Ovis aries: one gene and its partners. The protein of the gene in region 1 purifies or fractionates together with the protein of each later gene. This does not show direct contact. Links are inferred from orthologs where the notes say so. Each region holds a gene or a part of one and is shown in the gene's direction. Other genes may lie near its edges.

Region 1 (4,405 bases):
TTACTTATCTTTAATTTGTCTGTATTCTGGATTTAGATCACAAGTTCTTTGAAGATAGAAACTGATCTGAACTGAGTACATAGCTAGGTCTATTGAGCCACTTAAGAGGATTGGGACCAAACTGCTGTGGACCTCAGTTTCCTCATTTAGCAGATGTGTGGGTTGCTTGTCAGATCTTTAAAGTCTGTATGACTTGTAACATTCATTCATTCAGCAAATATTTGTTGAAAACCTATTACGTGCCACACATTGTGCCAGAAAGTGAGAAGGGACAGAGTGAAGGATCACAGTGGGCAGCAGGGAGAGAGACCAGCTTTGGAGCCAGACAGGCCTGACTCTCTGAGATTTTGCTCTGCCATGTACATATGGCAAAATTTGGACAAGTCACTGACTTCTTGAGCCTCAGTTTCCTTACAGGTAAAAGGGGATGTGTATACTTAACCCAAAAATCTGTGATGACTATTAGAAGCTATGTAGTGTGCCCTGCACAAGCTAATAAAATGTAAGTAGACTCCTCATCCTCCATTCACTTCCTCATGTACCTTTCAGGGAAAAAGATACACGTTTTGGTAAATACTCAACACACAAGTCAAAGCAAGCTAGGTGTCCCTGTGCTACGTGTGAACTGTGCTCTGTCCTGTCTGGCTCTTTGTAACCCCATGGACTGTAGCCCACCAGACTCCTCTGTCCATGGGATTTCCCCAAGCAAGAATACTACAGTGGGTTACCATTTCCTCCTTCAGGGGATCTTCCTGACCTAGGGATTGAACCGGCCTCTCCTGCCTGTGTCTCCTGCATTGGCAGGCGAATTCTTTATCACTTGAGCCACCTGCGAGGCCTCTAGAGCACCTGGGAGGTGTCCCTAGAAGCACAGAAATAAGACAGTGCAGGTGGGAACTGAATTCTTAGCTGGGGAATCCAGAAAGATTTCCAAGAATGCCCTTTGAAGGATGGGTAGGAGTTGGAAATTCCGGGTAGGGAGATGGAAGGTAATTGCAAGGTGGAACCAAGTGCCCCTGAATCTCAAAGGTTCTGAAAGGTCTCCGAGGCTGGGGGATGATGCTGGGCTGTACTTACTGCGCAAAGATTCTAAGAGGGTGGGGATTTCCCGCAGCCCCTTCCTCCGGCGTCCCCGAAGCCGCTTTTCCCAGTCCCGCCTCCCACGGGACACCACCCAGGTGGTGTAGGCGCGGGTGGCCGCTCAGCCACGGGAGGGCAGCAGCGGCCCTTTCCTGACCCCACCCCGGGCGCCTCTCAACTTTCCCGACGCCGGTCCGCCCGTAAGAGCTGGAAGGTGGCGCTGAGGCAGAGTCCTCCCGGGTCCAGTTCGCCGCGCCTAGCCCCGCCGCCCGCTCCTCCGCAGTCCAGGCATCTCCCGGACCCCGCGGGCCAGCGCCGGGCTACCGCCTGGGGCCGCGGGCGGGGGCCGGGGGCGGGCGGAGCCGAGAGCCGCCCGGCCCGCCCCTCCCGGCCAGTCGCCCCTCCCCGCCGCGGCGCTGGAGGAGGGCGGGGCGGCGGGGCCCCGCGGGTCACTCTGCCTCCCGCACCCGCAGCGCAGCTGGAAGCGGCGGAGCGGAAGGTACCCGGGTTGGGGCTGTGGGCGGCGGAGTCCTGGGCATTGGTCCCCGGCAGAGCACTTTCCCTCTTCTCCAACTTGGCTGGAGCTCGGGGCGCCGGCCGGGGAGGGGCTTTGGCCCGAGCGCGGGCCCCTTCCCTCCCCTCGTACGCGGCGTCTGGGCGGCGCGGGGATCCGGACGGCTGGGCCTCTCCCTGCCCTCCTGGGCTACTGTGGGGGGCGCCGGGAATTGTCCCGCAGGGCCTCTCGCCTCTAGGTGTCCGAGTCGAAGTCCGTTCCCTTCTCTCGGCTTCCCAGAACCTGCTTGGCAGGGCGAGGAGGAGAGGGGGCAACTTGGGTCTCCGCGAGGGAGCTCCCGCGCAGATGCTCAGCTCCCAAGTCTGGCGGCCCGCGGTGGACCTTGGCTGGGGTGTGAGTTGGGGCCCGAGTCCGGCTTGAGGTGGGAATTCCCCCCCGCCGGGCCTGTGAAGTGGCAGGAATAAGGGTGGGGTGTGACCGCGGGGGCTGCCACTGCTCCGGGGTCTGGACCTCGCCCAGGATGGTTTCTGGAGCCGGCCTGGAGTGGAGGTACGGGAAATTGGGAAGGATCCAAGCCGTTTGTGTGTGTGCGTGTGTGCTGGAAAGCTTGAGATGATTGAGGAGCTGTTTCATCCCAGGGAAGGCCCCAGGAGTTCGACTCATACCACGTCCTGTGGGGTTTGGTTGCCCCTCTTGAAGTCAGTGGGGCAGTTCCTCAGGGGTTGCCTCTCACAGGGAGCTGTTGTCCTTGCTGTCTTGGCCTTGGGCCTGGTGTCTTGGCCTGGCCTGGGTCTAGGACCCCTCTGAGCTTGAAGGGAAAGTGTTAAATGAGCTAGGGGAGGGTGTGCTCCAGATCATTCCAGCATGCCCCTGCCCTGGAGTTCTGGCCTCTGACCTGCACCATCTGGTGCTACCTAAACTGCCCTGCTGGAGTGGGAGAGGGCAGTGGCAAACTCAGAGCTAGGCAACTGGTATTCACCCTGGTGGTGAATGCCCTCCATCTGTCCATCAACGCTGCCTGTGCCAGGTTGGGGCTACTGCAGCCTGTCTTCCCTCAGTTGGACCAATGGACTTGTGGGAATGTGAGAGGGAGTTGGTCACTTGGGTAGAATTTTCAGGAGACCCCCTTTTCTGAAGGATGGTTTCCATTTGTGGAGGAAATCAGCTGGCAGGGTGAATGCCTTCTTGCTTGCCTTTTGGGATATCAGAAAGCCCCTGTTGTGGTGTTAGAGAGTGGCTGTGCGCTCAGCTCCTATAAATTCCATCTGATTCACATCCGCTTCCCCTCATCCCAGTGTTGTGCCTGTGTGTGTAGAGGGGAGGGAGGCCACCCGGGATCCCACTGTTGAAGAGAACTTGCCTTGGGCTGTAATATTCGCTTCCAAAAAGGCAGACCAGGGCTGGGCTGTGAGGTGGTGGTGGTGGTGTGTGGGGAGTGAGGGAGCTCAGCCTAGTTTGACAGGATGTGGGACTGAGAGAAAAAGCCAGGTTTGGGGCCGAGATCAGATTACCGTCCCCTTCTTTCTTAACCACTCCCTGTGTGGCTGGCGCTGGAATTGGCCTTCATTTGTCTCCCTTTTGGAGTTCCTCCCAGCGCCGGCTCCAGCTCCCGCTCCTCCCCACAGCCTCAACTTCATCTCAGGCCCGAAGCCCGCCCTCTCTTCCTCCCAGGCTGGGGGCCTGGGAACTCCAGCCGGCTGGAGGTCAGCTCCTCTCCCCAGGGAAGGAGGAAGTGAGGCTCAGCTTCAGGGGCAAAAAGAAGCTGGCAAGGTGTGATGAACTGTGCAGCTGCCCTTCGGTGTGTGTTGGGGGCAGGGGACACATGGAAACCCCGGGAAGCTGACTCCTGGCCCTGAGTCACAGGGAGGGGTGGGCAGGGCCTCAGGGTGAGCTGGACAGAGAGGAGGAAGGGGCCGTCCCAGGGAGTGGGTGGAGGTGATTCCCTAGTGGATTATTCTCGGTCGCTCTGCTGCCGTAGATGTGTGGCTCCCTACAGTGTGGTCATTGTCCCCTGCCTGGGGCTGAGTGACCCAGTGTTGCTGCCAGGCTCAGGAGGAAGGGGGAGGCAGGCAGCCTGCCCAAGTGTGGGCTGTGGGCACTGCCTGGACTGAGCCTCCTTTGTGTACGCGGGGCCCTGGGGACTGGGATGGGGTGGGCCAGGGAAGCTGGCTGGCCGCTGCTGCTGCCCTCCGTCTGGGTTCCCCTTGCTCTGCTCTCCTTCCCACCTCTGGGGTGATAATGTAGAAAAGCAACAGACTCTAGTCACACAGCCCTACTCTGAGGGCCTTCTCTGCCATGACTCCGAATTCCTCTTAGCTTCCATGAGTCTCACTTTCCTAGTTTGTCAAAACAGGGAAGCTCACTACCTTCTAGGCTTCTGGGGACAGAGGGAGTGATTTTTGTCAAAATGTCCAACGTAGAACCTAGCACCTGCTGTTTGGTCGCAAGGATGTATTGGACTGTTTTGTGACCCCATGGACTATAGCCCGCCAGGCTCCTCTGTCTACTCCTACCTCTGGAGTAGGTAGCCACTTCCTTCTGCAGGGGATCTTCCTGACCCAGGGATCAAACCCGAGTCTCCTGCATTGCAGGCAGATTCTTTACCACTGAACCACCTGGGAAGCCCTACCTGGCGTCTAGGTTATGATAAATAGTCTTTCCTTACCCACCCGTATCAGTCGAACTCTTTGTTTTGCAGTGGGCAGGCATGATTTGTGCTGAGTGAGGGACAATGTGTTCCAGATTGGACCTTTGTAATTATTAATCTTTTGAAAGTATTGAAATCCTGGTAACAAATAAGTCCGACTTTAA
Region 2 (4,228 bases), on another chromosome or scaffold:
AGATCCTGAAACCAGGTCCCTGGCTCACAGTTCAACCACAACCTCACTAGACGAGCCAGAACCACCGAGCGGAGCTCTCCCTGATCCTCGGTAAGGACAGTGTATGTTGGTCGTTTCAAGCTGCTAAATTCCAGGGTTATGTTTTTACACAGCAATAGGTGACTAATATAACAGAGTTAGATAGTTTTCAAAAAGCACTTGGGTTATCGAAAAACAAACTTTTGCTCAGTCAGCGATTGGGCAATGTAGCAGGACGCAGGATGAGTGCGTCGGGGACTAGCCGGGCAGTTTTCAGGTGCGCCAACAGGAAGCCTCAAAAGTGTGTATGGAATAAATACAAGATTGGAATGCTCTGCCTTTGGCCAACTCAACTTTCTACATGTTAAGCTGACCATGTGACTCTTCATTACAGAAAACTCGCAAATATTCCCCCAAAGTTAAGACATTTCCAAAAGATACCAAGGTCAGTATTTCACATTAGGTTCTGTGACCTAAAACGCCCCCACCACGTGCAATCCAGGGGTGTGTGTTTGTGATGACTCGGGTGTGAAGCATTTGAGGTCTTGCACTCCGCGAGGAGGAGGCGAAGGAAGAAGAGATGCATGCTAGACCGGCGTTGGCAGCGCAGGCTCCGCCAGCCTGGCTACAAATCATAGGCCCGGCTTGGCGCTGCAAAATCCTCGCTGGTTGAAGGCGTGGGCATGTGTCCGATAGTCGCCACGCCTGGTGGCGTCTGGGCTAGGAGCTCCCAAAAGGGCGACCGCATGGTGACTTGGGCTGGAAGGGGAAAGGCCTGGAGAGAGCTATTTGGACACCCGTGGATGAACGTTCGACGATAACTTCCGGGAGGGCGGACATCGGCGAGTGGGCGCGAAGGCAGCCTAAGGCCGGACAGCTGCCACTCGCTGACCTCGGCTACTTGATGGGATCGGCTGTGCCGGCTCGTCCCCGCGGCGTGATGGCAGCGGGCCCTCGAAGGGAGAGATGCCCGCTGACGGAGACGCGCCCGTGACACACGCGCGTCCCAGCACCTCGCAGAAATACCATGCCGCGCTCAGGTTTCTCGTGGCGCTCAGCGAGACCATCTCACTTCCCCACCCCTTCAGCTTGCCGGCAGACTCCTGAGGATACCCGGGACTAAGAAAAGCCTGTGGCAAAGAGCACAGGAGCCCCAACCGGACAAGTCTCCTTTGCCGCGCTGCCCAAACGGACGCGCCCACGAGGCCGGTCCGCAAGATGGCGGCGGCGCGCTGCCGGCAGCTCCTCGCACATGCGCTATCCGCGGCCCGCCCGGCGCGAGCGGAAGTCGCGTGACCCCGGAAGTGGCCGGCAGGGCGCGCGCGGGCGGGGCGGCGACGTTCGTCATTCTGTGCGGGAGGGAGCGCGAGAGCGGCGCGGACGATCCTCCGGTGAGTGCGGGCGGCGAGGCCAGCGAGCGCGGTGGGCACGGCGGGCGAGGCGGCCGCGGGGAAGGAGGCCGGGGCCGCGCCTTTGTTCTCGCTTCCCGCCCCGCCCGCCAGTCCCGCTGAGGGAATCTGCGCAGGGCGGGGGCGGCATTGACAGCGGGCGGCGCCCCGGGCGCAGGGCGGGCCCACGTGCGATCGGGGGCGCGGGGATCTGGAGGCGGGGGCGCGTGTGCCGGGGGTGGGAGCCGGGGTCTGTGCAGACCTCTTTTGTGGTCGCTGCTCGTACTCGGCAGCCCCCTGCTTGCTGGTGCGCGCGGACCAGGGCCAGGCGGGACGCCTCCTCCCCTGGGAGGTGAGGTCCCTGCGCCCCACCCTGCTTGCCGGGCCTCGCCTGGCCCAGATTGCAGGCCCTGCGGAAGTGCGGGCCTCGCCATCGCACTTAAATGATTTTGTCGCCTGCGGCCGCGCTTGAGTGACGTTAAGGCGTGAGCCTTCTAGAGGAATTCCAGAGGAAGCTGCAGGGAAGCTTGGAAAGAACGAGCCGGCCCCACCCTGCCTGTGGCGGCCGGGCGGTTCCGGGTCCCCAGCGGCCCTTTGTAAGATCGGGTCCTCACGCACGTCCCGGCATTGGCTGTCTTTACTGGCAACCGGTGGCCCTGACCCACCTCCCACACCGCCGGGTCTAGTCTGAGTCGGTTTCAGGTACTCCTCAGGGATTCTGCGGGGTGCGACGGTCATCCTTAGCGAAGGAAGTCCTGTGGCTGCCCCATCACTTCTCGCTTTGACAGCATTGCTCTGGGCTCTTCTGGGGCCCGGGCGGAAGGAGGATCTTGAGACTACCCATCACATGGCTGCAGCAGTTCTCAAATTCTAGGTCACAGACCCTCACAATTAGAGATTGGTTTGTCGGACAGGTAGGGTCTTTTAGGCCATTTCAGGACTTACCTGTGGGACTTAGGCTAGCCCCGTCATCTGAGCTCTAGGGGAGACCTGTGTTTGGGCTGGAGGGAGACATGACTGACCCATGTCCTGCACAAAGGCCTTGGTTTGTAGCTGGGGCGTTTTTGAAGGAACAGGCTGGTCAGAGAGAACCCAGCAAGAGGGTTTCCTTGAGGAGAGGGCCTAGGCAGCTCAGAACAAGAAGCAGCACTTGGTCCTGGTGCTTCCTGGTTGGACCCAGGTGCTGCTGCTTCCTGGGCAGCAGGGAAGCTGTGCCTGCTTTCCTTTCATTTAGCTCTGGATGCTGGGGTGAGGTCCTGTGAGGTGGGCAGGGCGAGGAGGTGAGTGGCCCCTTTGGGCTTCAGGAGCCTGTGTCTGGGCCTTTTATGAAGTTCTGGCTGTCACTGCCTTCCTGTTAGAGAACGTGCACCTCCCCTTGGGCCCAGGTTGGGGGTTTGGCCACTTGCAGAGAGCCAGTGCAGACCACCTGCAGGTCCTGCAGAAGGGCAGGTGGGGACACACTGTGGGTCCCTCCAGGCTGCCGCAGCCCCTGCTACTCTGGTCACAGGTGTCTCACATCCAGCTAGAGGTGAGTATGGCTGAGCAGGAGCCCACAGCCGAGCAGTTGGCACAGATTGCGGCAGAGAACGAGGAGGACGAGCACTCGGTCAACTATAAGCCCCCGGCCCAGAAGAGCATTCAGGAGATCCAGGAGCTGGACAAGGACGACGAGAGTCTGCGCAAATACAAGGAGGCCCTCCTGGGCCGCGTGGCTGTGTCTGCCGGTAAGTGGGCCCCGGTGGGGTGTGTGGACACCTGTCGCTTTTCTGGGTGTCCGCCACTATTTCCCCTGCTGGCGGAGCTCTAACTTGCTGTCACTCTGCAGACCCCAATGTCCCCAATGTTGTGGTGACCCGACTGACCCTGGTGTGTAGCACTGCCCCGGGCCCCCTGGAGCTGGACCTGACAGGTGAGTGGCATCTCCAGGTTCCTCGCTGGGGCTGCCTGGCACCCTGCTAATTCCCCTAAAAATAATTTGTTGAGATGCTGGCGCCCTCTTGTGGGGAGCCTAGGAAGTGCAACCAAGTGATTTTAATAAGGCTCTGGCTTTGGTGTGGCCTGGGATTGGAGGGTGGGGTGTGTGTGGGTGTCTGGGGTGTGGCCTGGGATGTCAAGGGGTGTGTGTGTGGGTGTGGGTGTGTGGGTGTGTGTGTTTGGTGTGGCCTGGGATGCCGGGGGTGTGTGTGTGTAGAGGGGCAGACAGGGCACCCCACCAGGGCCGGAGTGGCTTCCCCTACCTGAACCTCCTAGTGTGGCGTTCCTCTCAAACGCAGGTGATCTGGAGAGCTTCAAGAAGCAGTCTTTTGTGCTGAAGGAGGGTGTGGAATATCGGATAAAAATCTCCTTCCGGGTAAGGAGGAGGCTTGGGGGGATGCTGGGGGCTCGGACTGGAGAGTCTGGCTGAGCCCCGCTTGTGTGCCTCCTTGCAGGTGAACCGAGAGATTGTGTCCGGCATGAAGTACATCCAGCACACGTACAGGAAAGGCGTGAAGAGTGAGTGCGGGGGCACCAGGAGGGAGGTGGCCACCGGGGGCTCAAGGGGCGCCGGGAGGGAGCGGGGAAAGGCCCGCCTCAGCTCCCTGACGGACGCCCTCCCCGTGCCCCACAGTTGACAAGACTGACTACATGGTGGGGAGCTATGGGCCCCGGGCGGAGGAGTATGAGTTCCTGACGCCCATGGAGGAGGCGCCCAAGGGCATGCTGGCTCGAGGCAGCTACAACATCAAGTCCCGCTTCACAGACGACGACAGGACTGACCACCTGTCCTGGGAATGGAACCTCACCATCAAGAAGGAGTGGAAGGACTGAGCCGGGAGGCGGGC
Region 3 (4,346 bases), on another chromosome or scaffold:
TCTCTCTTTCCTGAGAGCCTCAGTTAGTTCCATGAATATTTTTCTCTTGAACCCCATTATTCTTGCACAATGATATGAGAAAATAAGAGTGATAAGACTTTCACCAACAATTAGGTGGAGAATTGTTTGAAATTTTGTGATTCCCCGCCCCCTCCCCACAAACCGTGGTCTTCTAGACATTCTGCTAGTGGAAACAGGGGTGTGAACTAATCCTTAAATGTGACTAAGATATTGAATGCCATTACAATTTACCTTTACAACTGGAATAACTGGATGTATTGATTTATTTTTCATTTAAAAAGACACCTAAAGATTTACTCTCAATGTTACTTTTTCATAACGTTTGGTGATCATTGAGTAATATAAAGTGCCATGGGAAAAATATACATATTAAAAATAAAATTTTCCTGAAGGTTCGGAATTCCACATACCTTTTGCTTACTTTAAATTAAACATATAAGTTATTAATATCACAGTAATTCCTGAACAGCATGATGTGTTGTTTGGCTGAAGTCATACAAAAATTTGAAGAGTATGGTATATACATTGAGCGGAAAGTGTGTGCATTTAAGAGTACATGTATACATATGTGTTATTTATTAAAACTTCAGGCAAGGATGTTGTCTTCCTGCAAATTCAGAGCCCTGAGAGCGGGAAGTCTGCTGCAGAGAAGAACAAAAGCATGGCTGCGCGATAGTATTATCTCTGCAGCAGCAGCAGGCTCCCTGACGAAGGGCTGCGGCGACTATCTAGTCTGTTACACTGCATTTTTATTACTGACACCCTGCGTTATTCTGTCAGCTCAGCCGACTAAGCTGTTCCCCGAGTTCTGGCTGGTCACCCTGACTCCGTTAAATGGGAGAAGGAAAGAGAAGGCAGGTGATTTGTACCAACTGGGGCACGGGGAGATTTCTTTCCTTCGGGGTCAGTGTCCTTCATCGTCCGGGACTTGGGGAATTCCAGGATCACATTTAACCCAGAAACCAGAGTGTCCTATTCGTTAGTTGCTGCGCAGAGGGAAGACAGTGAAAGGCTTAATCTCTTCCCAGCTGGGGCCAATAGAGCTGGGTTGGTCAGAGTTGCCTGGCTGATGTGCAGTAGCCTGGACCCTGCTGGTCCCTCAGAGACCGCACGGGGCCTAGAGGAGGTCAAGTCAAAGGGCACGACCTCAGGGAGCTTCCCCCCCAACTCTTGCCCGCGCAGTCCGCAACTCGGCTCCTGAACGACCACCGCTACTACTGCAAGGCTGGAGGGCGGGGAGGGGGCGGGTCGCGGAGGGGGCGGGAATAGGGGCGGGGACGAAGAGGCTCTGAAGTTTGTTGGGAAGTGTAGTTTTCAGAACCTCAGAAGCGTAGCTATCCAGGCTCTGCTTGTGGAGTGTTAACTACGATTCCCAGGAGTACACGGGCCCAGCCCGGGAGTCCATGCGCAGTGGGCGCCACATTGTATCCTATCAGGCGAGGAGAGGGTGATGTCACCTGCGAGTTGGTAACCTACGAGCGGCTGTGAAGGAAACTGTTTAACCGGATCCCATTGTACCCGGAGCGCAGAGCCGCCTTTTCAGCATGCAGGGGCTGCTCAGGTAAGGGGGACGTGCCGCGTCGCCCGCCGCACTCATTCATTAAGAGGCACCGCGCGGTGGCGCGGGGGTGGGCGCGCTTCTTCGCGGCCCGGTGCTGGGTTCGCAGCACGCCCTCCCGCTGTCTTCCCGGAGCTCCCGGGCCAGTAGGTAAATATTAAACCCGTCCTTCAGGTTGGGTCTGGGTGGGAACAGGACCTAGACAGCTCCCAGCTGCCAAGCTGGGTTTGGGAAAATGGCTGCAAGCGCGGCTCAAAGCAAGGCGAGTCCGGGGGAAGGCGCCCCGAGGACAGAGTTGCCTCCCTTCTTTCTTTCTGAGGCGCTTGGACGCCAAGAGAGCCAGCAGGGTACCACTCGCCGCCTTGCTGATGACACGCTGGGGCTCTGGGGCTCTTGGCCTCTGCTGGGTGCTGCGGGCACTGCTACTGTCGGGAGTTGCTGGCCCGGGAGGCTCTGGAAGGGAGAATCCCGAGGTAGGCTTGTTAGAGTGGTAACCGAAGAGGCGGGACTCATTTACTGGTTCGCGTCCCAGCAGAATCCCCGCTATCCCGGGGACCCTCGCCTCAAGACTCATTCGACAGGGATGGGGTGACTGTAATTTAGGCGAAGTTGGAAGCTCAAGGTCTCAAATGAGAAAGAGGAGGGAAACCCACGTTGCGGAAAGAGCGAGGGGTTGTTTGCGGACATCGGTGAGGGGAGGCTGCGCAGCCTGCGGACCGGGTTCGAGGCGCCACAGGGCGATCCAGCCTCCCGTCCCTTTGGGTAGGGCACACCTTGGTGCCCCTTGCACTGATGGCTCACTTGACCAGGAGCACTTGAGCTAGGACGAAGCCTCTGCCCGGAGCGCTGGCTGGGCGGTGGTAAAGCGGTGGGGAGAGTTGAATAATCTAATGATAACAGTCGCAGTGGAACAGAAGGGCTGGGTGATCGGTTTTCACAGCTAGTGGTGAAAATCCAACTGCTTGTGATCCGCATTGAGACGTGTGCGAGGCCCATGAACTCTATATAATAAAGTCCTCTGGATATCCTTTCCCTAGCACCCTTATCCTTTCTCTTACTCATTCATCAAACCTTTGCTAAAGGCTCTGTTCTCAAGTTGCTCTCAGCCTGCGATTGGGGTATTCTGCCTCTCGTTCCTATAAAATATTTTAGTGGACCCAGGGATCGAATACACTTCAACCGTCGTTCACTACCGAGCCCCTCACCCTTCGCCCCCTATCTCCAGGATGCTCAAGGAGAGTATTAAGAGTAAATGCCACCCATGACCGTTTTGCTCCCGTTGAGCTAGTAGTTTCCCCAGGCTCGGGAAGGACCTAGTGAATTGAAGCGGAGTTTGCCTGCAAGATGAATCCTGTTGCCATGGCGACTCCTGTCGTCGGAATCTTAACTGCTCCCACTGCTGTTTCAATTCGTCGTGGCCCTGCGGGCAGCTGGGAGGGCGTGGCCAGTAGGTGTGGTCAGATGCTCGCCCTGGGCCCAGCTGCTCCCTCCTGGTCACCGGTTTCACAGTGCCGGGCTCTCTCCATTCCCTGTAAATAGCTTGAATACAATTTTTAGACCCCTTTCCCTCTGTCAAGCCCATACCTGGTCTCCCCAGCTCCATCCCCAGAAAAAGCTCTTAAGAGCCTTTGTCCTGAGGCAGACTCCGAAAATTAGAACCAAAAGATCTCTTTCCTCTTTCACGCTTATGTTATGTATGTTATGTGAAGTCGCTCAGTCGTGTCCGACTCTTTGCGACCCCGTGGACTGTAGCCCACCAGGCTCCTCCGTCCATGGGATTCTCGAGGCAAGAATACTGGAGTGGGTTGCCATTTCCTTCTCCAGGGGATCTTCCCGACCCAGGGATCAAACCCAGGTCTCCCACATTGCAGGCAGACACGTTAACCTCTGAGCCACCTAGCTGCTCCATTTTCCTAATAACATATGTAATAGTGTTGGAAACAGCTTTCTTTCTCAAGGAGGGAGTTCTCTGTCATGCTTGAAGAGAGCTCTCTGGCTACCAGTAAAGGTCCTCAATTTGCCCTAAGTGCAATTTTAGGGACAAGTAATGACTGAAATTGAGTTCAGGAAGTCACTGCTATCCCATGTGTTTCTAATGAAATCCAAAAGCCTGCCTAGAGGATTCAGATCCTTGAGAGGGTTGGGATCTAGGAAGCCTGGGTCCTGCTCCGGCATTACTGGCTTCCCCTTCTGGGGTGAACCCTCTGCCTCTGGGACCTCAGTCATTGGTGACCTGGGGAAAGCAGCATAGAGTGTTTCCTAAAGTTGATTTCAATATAAAATCTTGTGGCTCTAAGAAGGAGTTGTTTGTCGTCTTTTATTTTTCTCAAAGAAATCTGAAGATGAGAGTTTAAGCCCAGCTTTTGACACTGTGACATCGGATTAGTATCTGAGCCCTACTTGTATGGCAAAATAGCCTGAGTCTCATGGTAATCCTTCAAAGTGGGCAAAGCAGCTATATTAGTATTTATGATATTAGTTCTATCCTTACTACTATTATCCCAGTACCTGGACATCTGTTTATCTTTTTATTGTAGGGTTGTTTAGGTTTTGACTTTTTAGATTCTTGTGGAATGCAGTTATTGGTAATTGCATTGAGTAATTGAGCTATACATTTTGCTTACCTTCTGCTTTCATTTCATACTGAAGTGTATTATCACAGATATTGCAATTAAGGGGTAAGTGTATGTCTGTTAGCATCAGTGCATCATGTGCAGGTAAATGCTTGGGGATGCTGTGTTCCCCGGCGGTTGACATTCATCATCTT
Region 4 (4,036 bases), on another chromosome or scaffold:
CTATTTGTCATCTCCCTCTCACAGGTTGTGCTGCTGACAGCGCCCTTTCCCATGCACGACTGCAGTTGCTGCCTCGGGAGAGCGACCAGGTTCCTCACCCCAACCAGAGCGGCGAAATAGGTTTCCCCCTGCCTCCTCTCCCAGGGCAGAGGAACCAAGACCAGCCTCCGCCCCGCGCGCATGCCCAGTTGGGAGGGCGCCTCACTAGGGACCGCGAGGCTCAGGTTTTCCCCGCTGTTGGGCGGCCTCGCGGACCCAGGAAAACTCCGACCGATGTACCCTGAGGGGCCGCAGGCAACTCTGCGGACTTAATTTTCCACTTTGGCAACCTTGTGCCTGCCGCGTTCAAAGGGAGCCGGGCACATCCCGGCAGGGTGGCGCCCCATGGCTAGGGCACCCTAGTTACATAGCTTTTCAGGTGTCCTCCGGGGAACGGAAGGCCGCACTCCTCTGGAAGAACAACACTTTCTGAAGAAATCCCGGGACGGTCACTCCTCTCGTTTGCCGAACCTTTTTTTTTTTTAAAACTGGCCACAGACAAGACAGTCCTAATGCTGAGCGCCCTCCCAGCGGCCGCCTCCTTGCTCTGTGCCCAGCGGGCCCATAGGCTGCTCTGAAAACGGGCGTTCTCAGGTATCTGTCTCCAGAGTCGCTGGCCTCATGGCCAGCACGTCCATTCCACCTTCATTTCAGAACGTCCGCTTTGCTTCCCGACCACCCTCCCGGGTCTAAGAAGGCCCAGCGTCTCCTCCTTCGGGAAATTCCCGCCGGTGCACCTAGACTGTCCCGAAATGAACACGGGCCCGTTTTCCGGGTGTGGGTTGGCGGGAGCCATGGTAGAGAGCCAGGTGTAGTAGCTCGGGCTCGGCGTCCCGGCGTTCGGCCTCTGAAGGCTCACCCTCGGGCGGCCGCCATCAAGCTCCTCCGCCGCAGCTGCAGCCGGCCCGCAAACACACGCCCACCCGCACGCTCGGATTCACTGGCCCCAGGCGTGGGGGGGCGGGGAACGCACTGAGCATGCTCGGTGGGGAGGGCGGGGCGCTCTCGGACGGCGCGTCGGGGCGGGCGCTCCTCCGGCTGGGCTCGGCGCCTCCGCCGCCCGCTCGGAGCCGCGCCCGCCGCAGGCTGCGCCCGCCGCGCCCGCCCCGCCCTACCCCGCCCCGCCCCCCGCCGCTCGTCCCCGCCGCGGCCGCGCCGTCTGCAGCAGCAGCAGCGGCAGCTGCTCCTCCCCGGCGGCCGCCCCCCGCGGGTCCCTCCCTGGCTGCGGGAGAGACAGAGGTAGACGGAGGACACAGCGCCGCGCCGCCCGCACCGGAGACCTTCGCCTCGCCCTGCCGGCTCCTCACCCTCTGGGAGGAACATGGGTAAGTCATCCTTCCTCCCCCGTCATCGCCTGACATATTTCTCTTTCTCGGTGTGTTGCAGGGTGGGAAGCATTTCTCGCGCAAAGTTGCCTGATTTCTCAAATCCACGGGTGTGAGGCAGTGGCTCTTCCTCCCGGGAGAGTCGGCGCACGCGGAACGCACGCCGGGTCCGCGAACTGGGAGGGTGCCGAGTGCGGGGTGGGGTCTGGCCGCGGGGCGGATCGCCGCCCGCCTCTCGGGCACCTCGCTGCCTAGCCTCCCCTCCTCCATTCTTCCTGCCCGAGCGGGCACCACGGAGCCTGCCTTGCGGGCTCGCATCCGCTGCCCCTTCCCGGTTCCTTCGGTGGCCGCCCGTTTCCTTTCCCCAGCGGCTGCTGGGCTGGAGGCTCGGGTCGGACCGCGAGAAAGACCACTTCACCCAACTTCCCTGCCAGGGCGACCTTTCCCCACTGTGGGAACTGCTCATCCCAAGGCGAGGAGGTGTGAGCATGTAGTTTGTGGGGGAGATTTTACAACCTGCACGGGAATTTATATTTGTTGGGGGAGAGCGCACAGTCTCATAGGTTGAAAGGATGACTTGTCAGAGGCCACGAGGACCGTGAGGAAGGATGGATAGAGCCCGCTAGCTGTTGAATTAGTGTTGAGTGGCTGCAGTGTAGCAGTATTCTGTGCTCAACCCATTTTCTTGGTTCTTTTGCCTGTCTACTGTAGTAGGAAACTGCACCCTGTAACATGTTACCCAACTTACACGTTATTCTTTCCCGGCTTCCCTTGTCGAAATCTACATAATCTGATTTTAGTTATTTTTTTGTTAATGTCAAGAGTTTTGGATATTTAAAAGCAAGTATCTTTTATAAAAGTGCATGTAATTTATCCTTTTTTTTTTTTCACAGTATGTTGCTTAATTTTGAAGTTCAGTAATTGCAAAAACGTCTTATGGATACTGTAATGTAATTAAAAGACCAAAGTTTTTTTAAATGGTAGCAATTTGGAATACCATGCTTCTCCAAGTTCCCCAGTTTGTTTCCATTCCTGTCTATTATAGTTTCCTCTTTTTAGAATTTGCTACATTGGCATATATCAACTTGGACTTTTCCCACCCCTTCCCTGCAAGTTATTTTAAGCTTCAGATGAGTGTGGTCCTTTCATCTGTCAATACAGTACTCAGCACGTCCAGAGTTAGGTCATGGCAACTCAGAATCTTCAAAGAAGTGTCTAAATCTAGAAATGGTGTGGATGGAGCTTAAAAAGCAAATGCTCCAGGCTCTGATTCAGATCTTTTGCTGTATATCAGGAAGAGGTCATTGTTACAAGAGGAGGTGGTATGAATGAAAAGTGAATCTAAGACCCAGAATTTTATTTTCTCTTGTTCAGTTTTTTTCTTTTTAATGTCCTATTGGTATGCTGAAGAGATTTCTGTAAAAATTGAGTGATCCATTTATATGTACCTAGCCTTTCTCTGGGAGTAGAATATTAGTTCAGATTGTTGGAGACATAGTTTGTCTTCCCCTTGAACATAACAAATTTTTTCCTGTTAATTATAGGCCACAAGTTGGCCTATAAACTGTATTTCACCATGTTTCAAGCTGAGCTAATAAAAATCTGTTTAAAATTTTAACTTGCATGTTGAATCAGTACCATTTCGGTGGGAAAAAAATTAAATTCTATTGCAGTACTACTGAAAAAATAATTTAAAAATAATCTTGAAAATCTTGAATATTATTACTTGATTTCAAAGAAAATTAAATCCATTCCTCATTTGAAGCTTCTCAGGTATACTTTGACTAAATTACTCTCTCACGTCATTCTGTTTGTACCTTGTTGGAAGCTTTTGAGCTCTTATATAATCAGCTTTATAATGGAGTTGTTTATATGTGTGTGTGTTGTGCATTTAGTCATGTGTTCCAGAAGATGAAAATTGTGTCTTAATGATTTTTGGGCCCTCCACAGTGCTTTCCACATAGTAGATATTCAGTAACTCTTTGAATTAATTGTTGAACTGCAAACCCATCTATTATTGTGAACTTGTGAACCTGTAAGTATGGACTCTGAAGAACGTTTGAGTTGGTAGATGTTAGGGAGGTAATAGCGGAGAAGGCAATGGCACCCCACTCCAGTACTCTTGCCTGGAAAATCCCATGGATGGAGGACCCTGGTAGGCTGCTGTCCATGGGGTCGCTAAGAGTCGGACATGACTGAGCGACTTCCCTTTCACTTTTCACTTTCATGCATTGGAGAAGGAAATGGCAACCCACTCCAGTGTTCTTGCCTGGAGAATCCCAGGGACGGGGGAGCCTGATGGGCTGCTGTCTATGGGGTCGGACACGACTGAAGCGACTTAGCAGCAGCAGCAGGGAGGTAATGGAGGTGTGAAGAAGTGGGAACAGAGAAGTATATTTACACTATGATTGCTCTTCTCTCTTTCTCGAAAAAAAAAAAAAAAGTTGAGTTGTCTTAAGAGGTATGGGTTTTGGAGCAGCCACCAGGCAAGCTATTTCTTTTTACACTGCTGTCTTCAGTGGTATGTTGGTTTAGTTTGTGATCAGTAGGTACATACAATAATGTAAAACTGAAAGCTTGGGAAGCAATTTTATATTCTAACCCAAGGAAGTTATTATAACAATTCATACATACATAAAGGGTATGCTGATTACTGGTAGGGCAAAAAAATC

The links. Proteins that work in one complex are often made in the same cells at the same time.
Region 2: the proteins of RHOC (region 1) and ARHGDIA purify together in Homo sapiens (affinity purification with mass spectrometry; 4 studies listed by BioGRID and IntAct, with this or other methods). This does not show direct contact. The link is inferred for Ovis aries from reciprocal best matches to the Homo sapiens genes RHOC and ARHGDIA.
Region 3: the proteins of RHOC (region 1) and DAAM1 purify together in Homo sapiens (affinity purification with mass spectrometry; 3 studies listed by BioGRID and IntAct, counting the BioPlex papers as one, with this or other methods). This does not show direct contact. The link is inferred for Ovis aries from reciprocal best matches to the Homo sapiens genes RHOC and DAAM1.
Region 4: the proteins of RHOC (region 1) and RAP1GDS1 purify together in Homo sapiens (co-immunoprecipitation; 3 studies listed by BioGRID and IntAct, counting the BioPlex papers as one, with this or other methods). This does not show direct contact. The link is inferred for Ovis aries from reciprocal best matches to the Homo sapiens genes RHOC and RAP1GDS1.

Annotation. Positions count from the first base shown.
Region 1 is NC_056054.1:90,100,186-90,104,590, reverse strand, and holds the start of RHOC (rho-related GTP-binding protein RhoC), read left to right. Parts: upstream 1-1,531; 5' UTR 1,532-2,143; intron 2,144-3,313; exon of another isoform or gene 3,314-3,392; intron 3,393-4,405. UniProt on the Homo sapiens protein: Regulates a signal transduction pathway linking plasma membrane receptors to the assembly of focal adhesions and actin stress fibers.
Region 2 is NC_056064.1:50,520,144-50,524,371, forward strand, and holds the start of ARHGDIA (rho GDP-dissociation inhibitor 1), read left to right. Parts: upstream 1-1,364; 5' UTR 1,365-2,108; intron 2,109-2,194; 5' UTR 2,195-2,320; intron 2,321-2,913; 5' UTR 2,914-2,940; coding exon 2,941-3,130; intron 3,131-3,231; coding exon 3,232-3,315; intron 3,316-3,679; coding exon 3,680-3,756; intron 3,757-3,835; coding exon 3,836-3,899; intron 3,900-4,014; coding exon 4,015-4,214; 3' UTR 4,215-4,228. UniProt on the Homo sapiens protein: Controls Rho proteins homeostasis. Regulates the GDP/GTP exchange reaction of the Rho proteins by inhibiting the dissociation of GDP from them, and the subsequent binding of GTP to them.
Region 3 is NC_056060.1:69,528,507-69,532,852, forward strand, and holds the start of DAAM1 (disheveled-associated activator of morphogenesis 1), read left to right. Parts: upstream 1-1,482; 5' UTR 1,483-4,346. UniProt on the Homo sapiens protein: Binds to disheveled (Dvl) and Rho, and mediates Wnt-induced Dvl-Rho complex formation. May play a role as a scaffolding protein to recruit Rho-GDP and Rho-GEF, thereby enhancing Rho-GTP formation. Can direct nucleation and elongation of new actin filaments.
Region 4 is NC_056059.1:26,856,780-26,860,815, reverse strand, and holds the start of RAP1GDS1 (rap1 GTPase-GDP dissociation stimulator 1), read left to right. Parts: upstream 1-1,172; 5' UTR 1,173-1,360; coding exon 1,361-1,364; intron 1,365-4,036. UniProt on the Homo sapiens protein: Acts as a GEF (guanine nucleotide exchange factor) for the Rho family of small GTP-binding proteins (G proteins) that stimulates the dissociation of GDP to enable subsequent binding of GTP.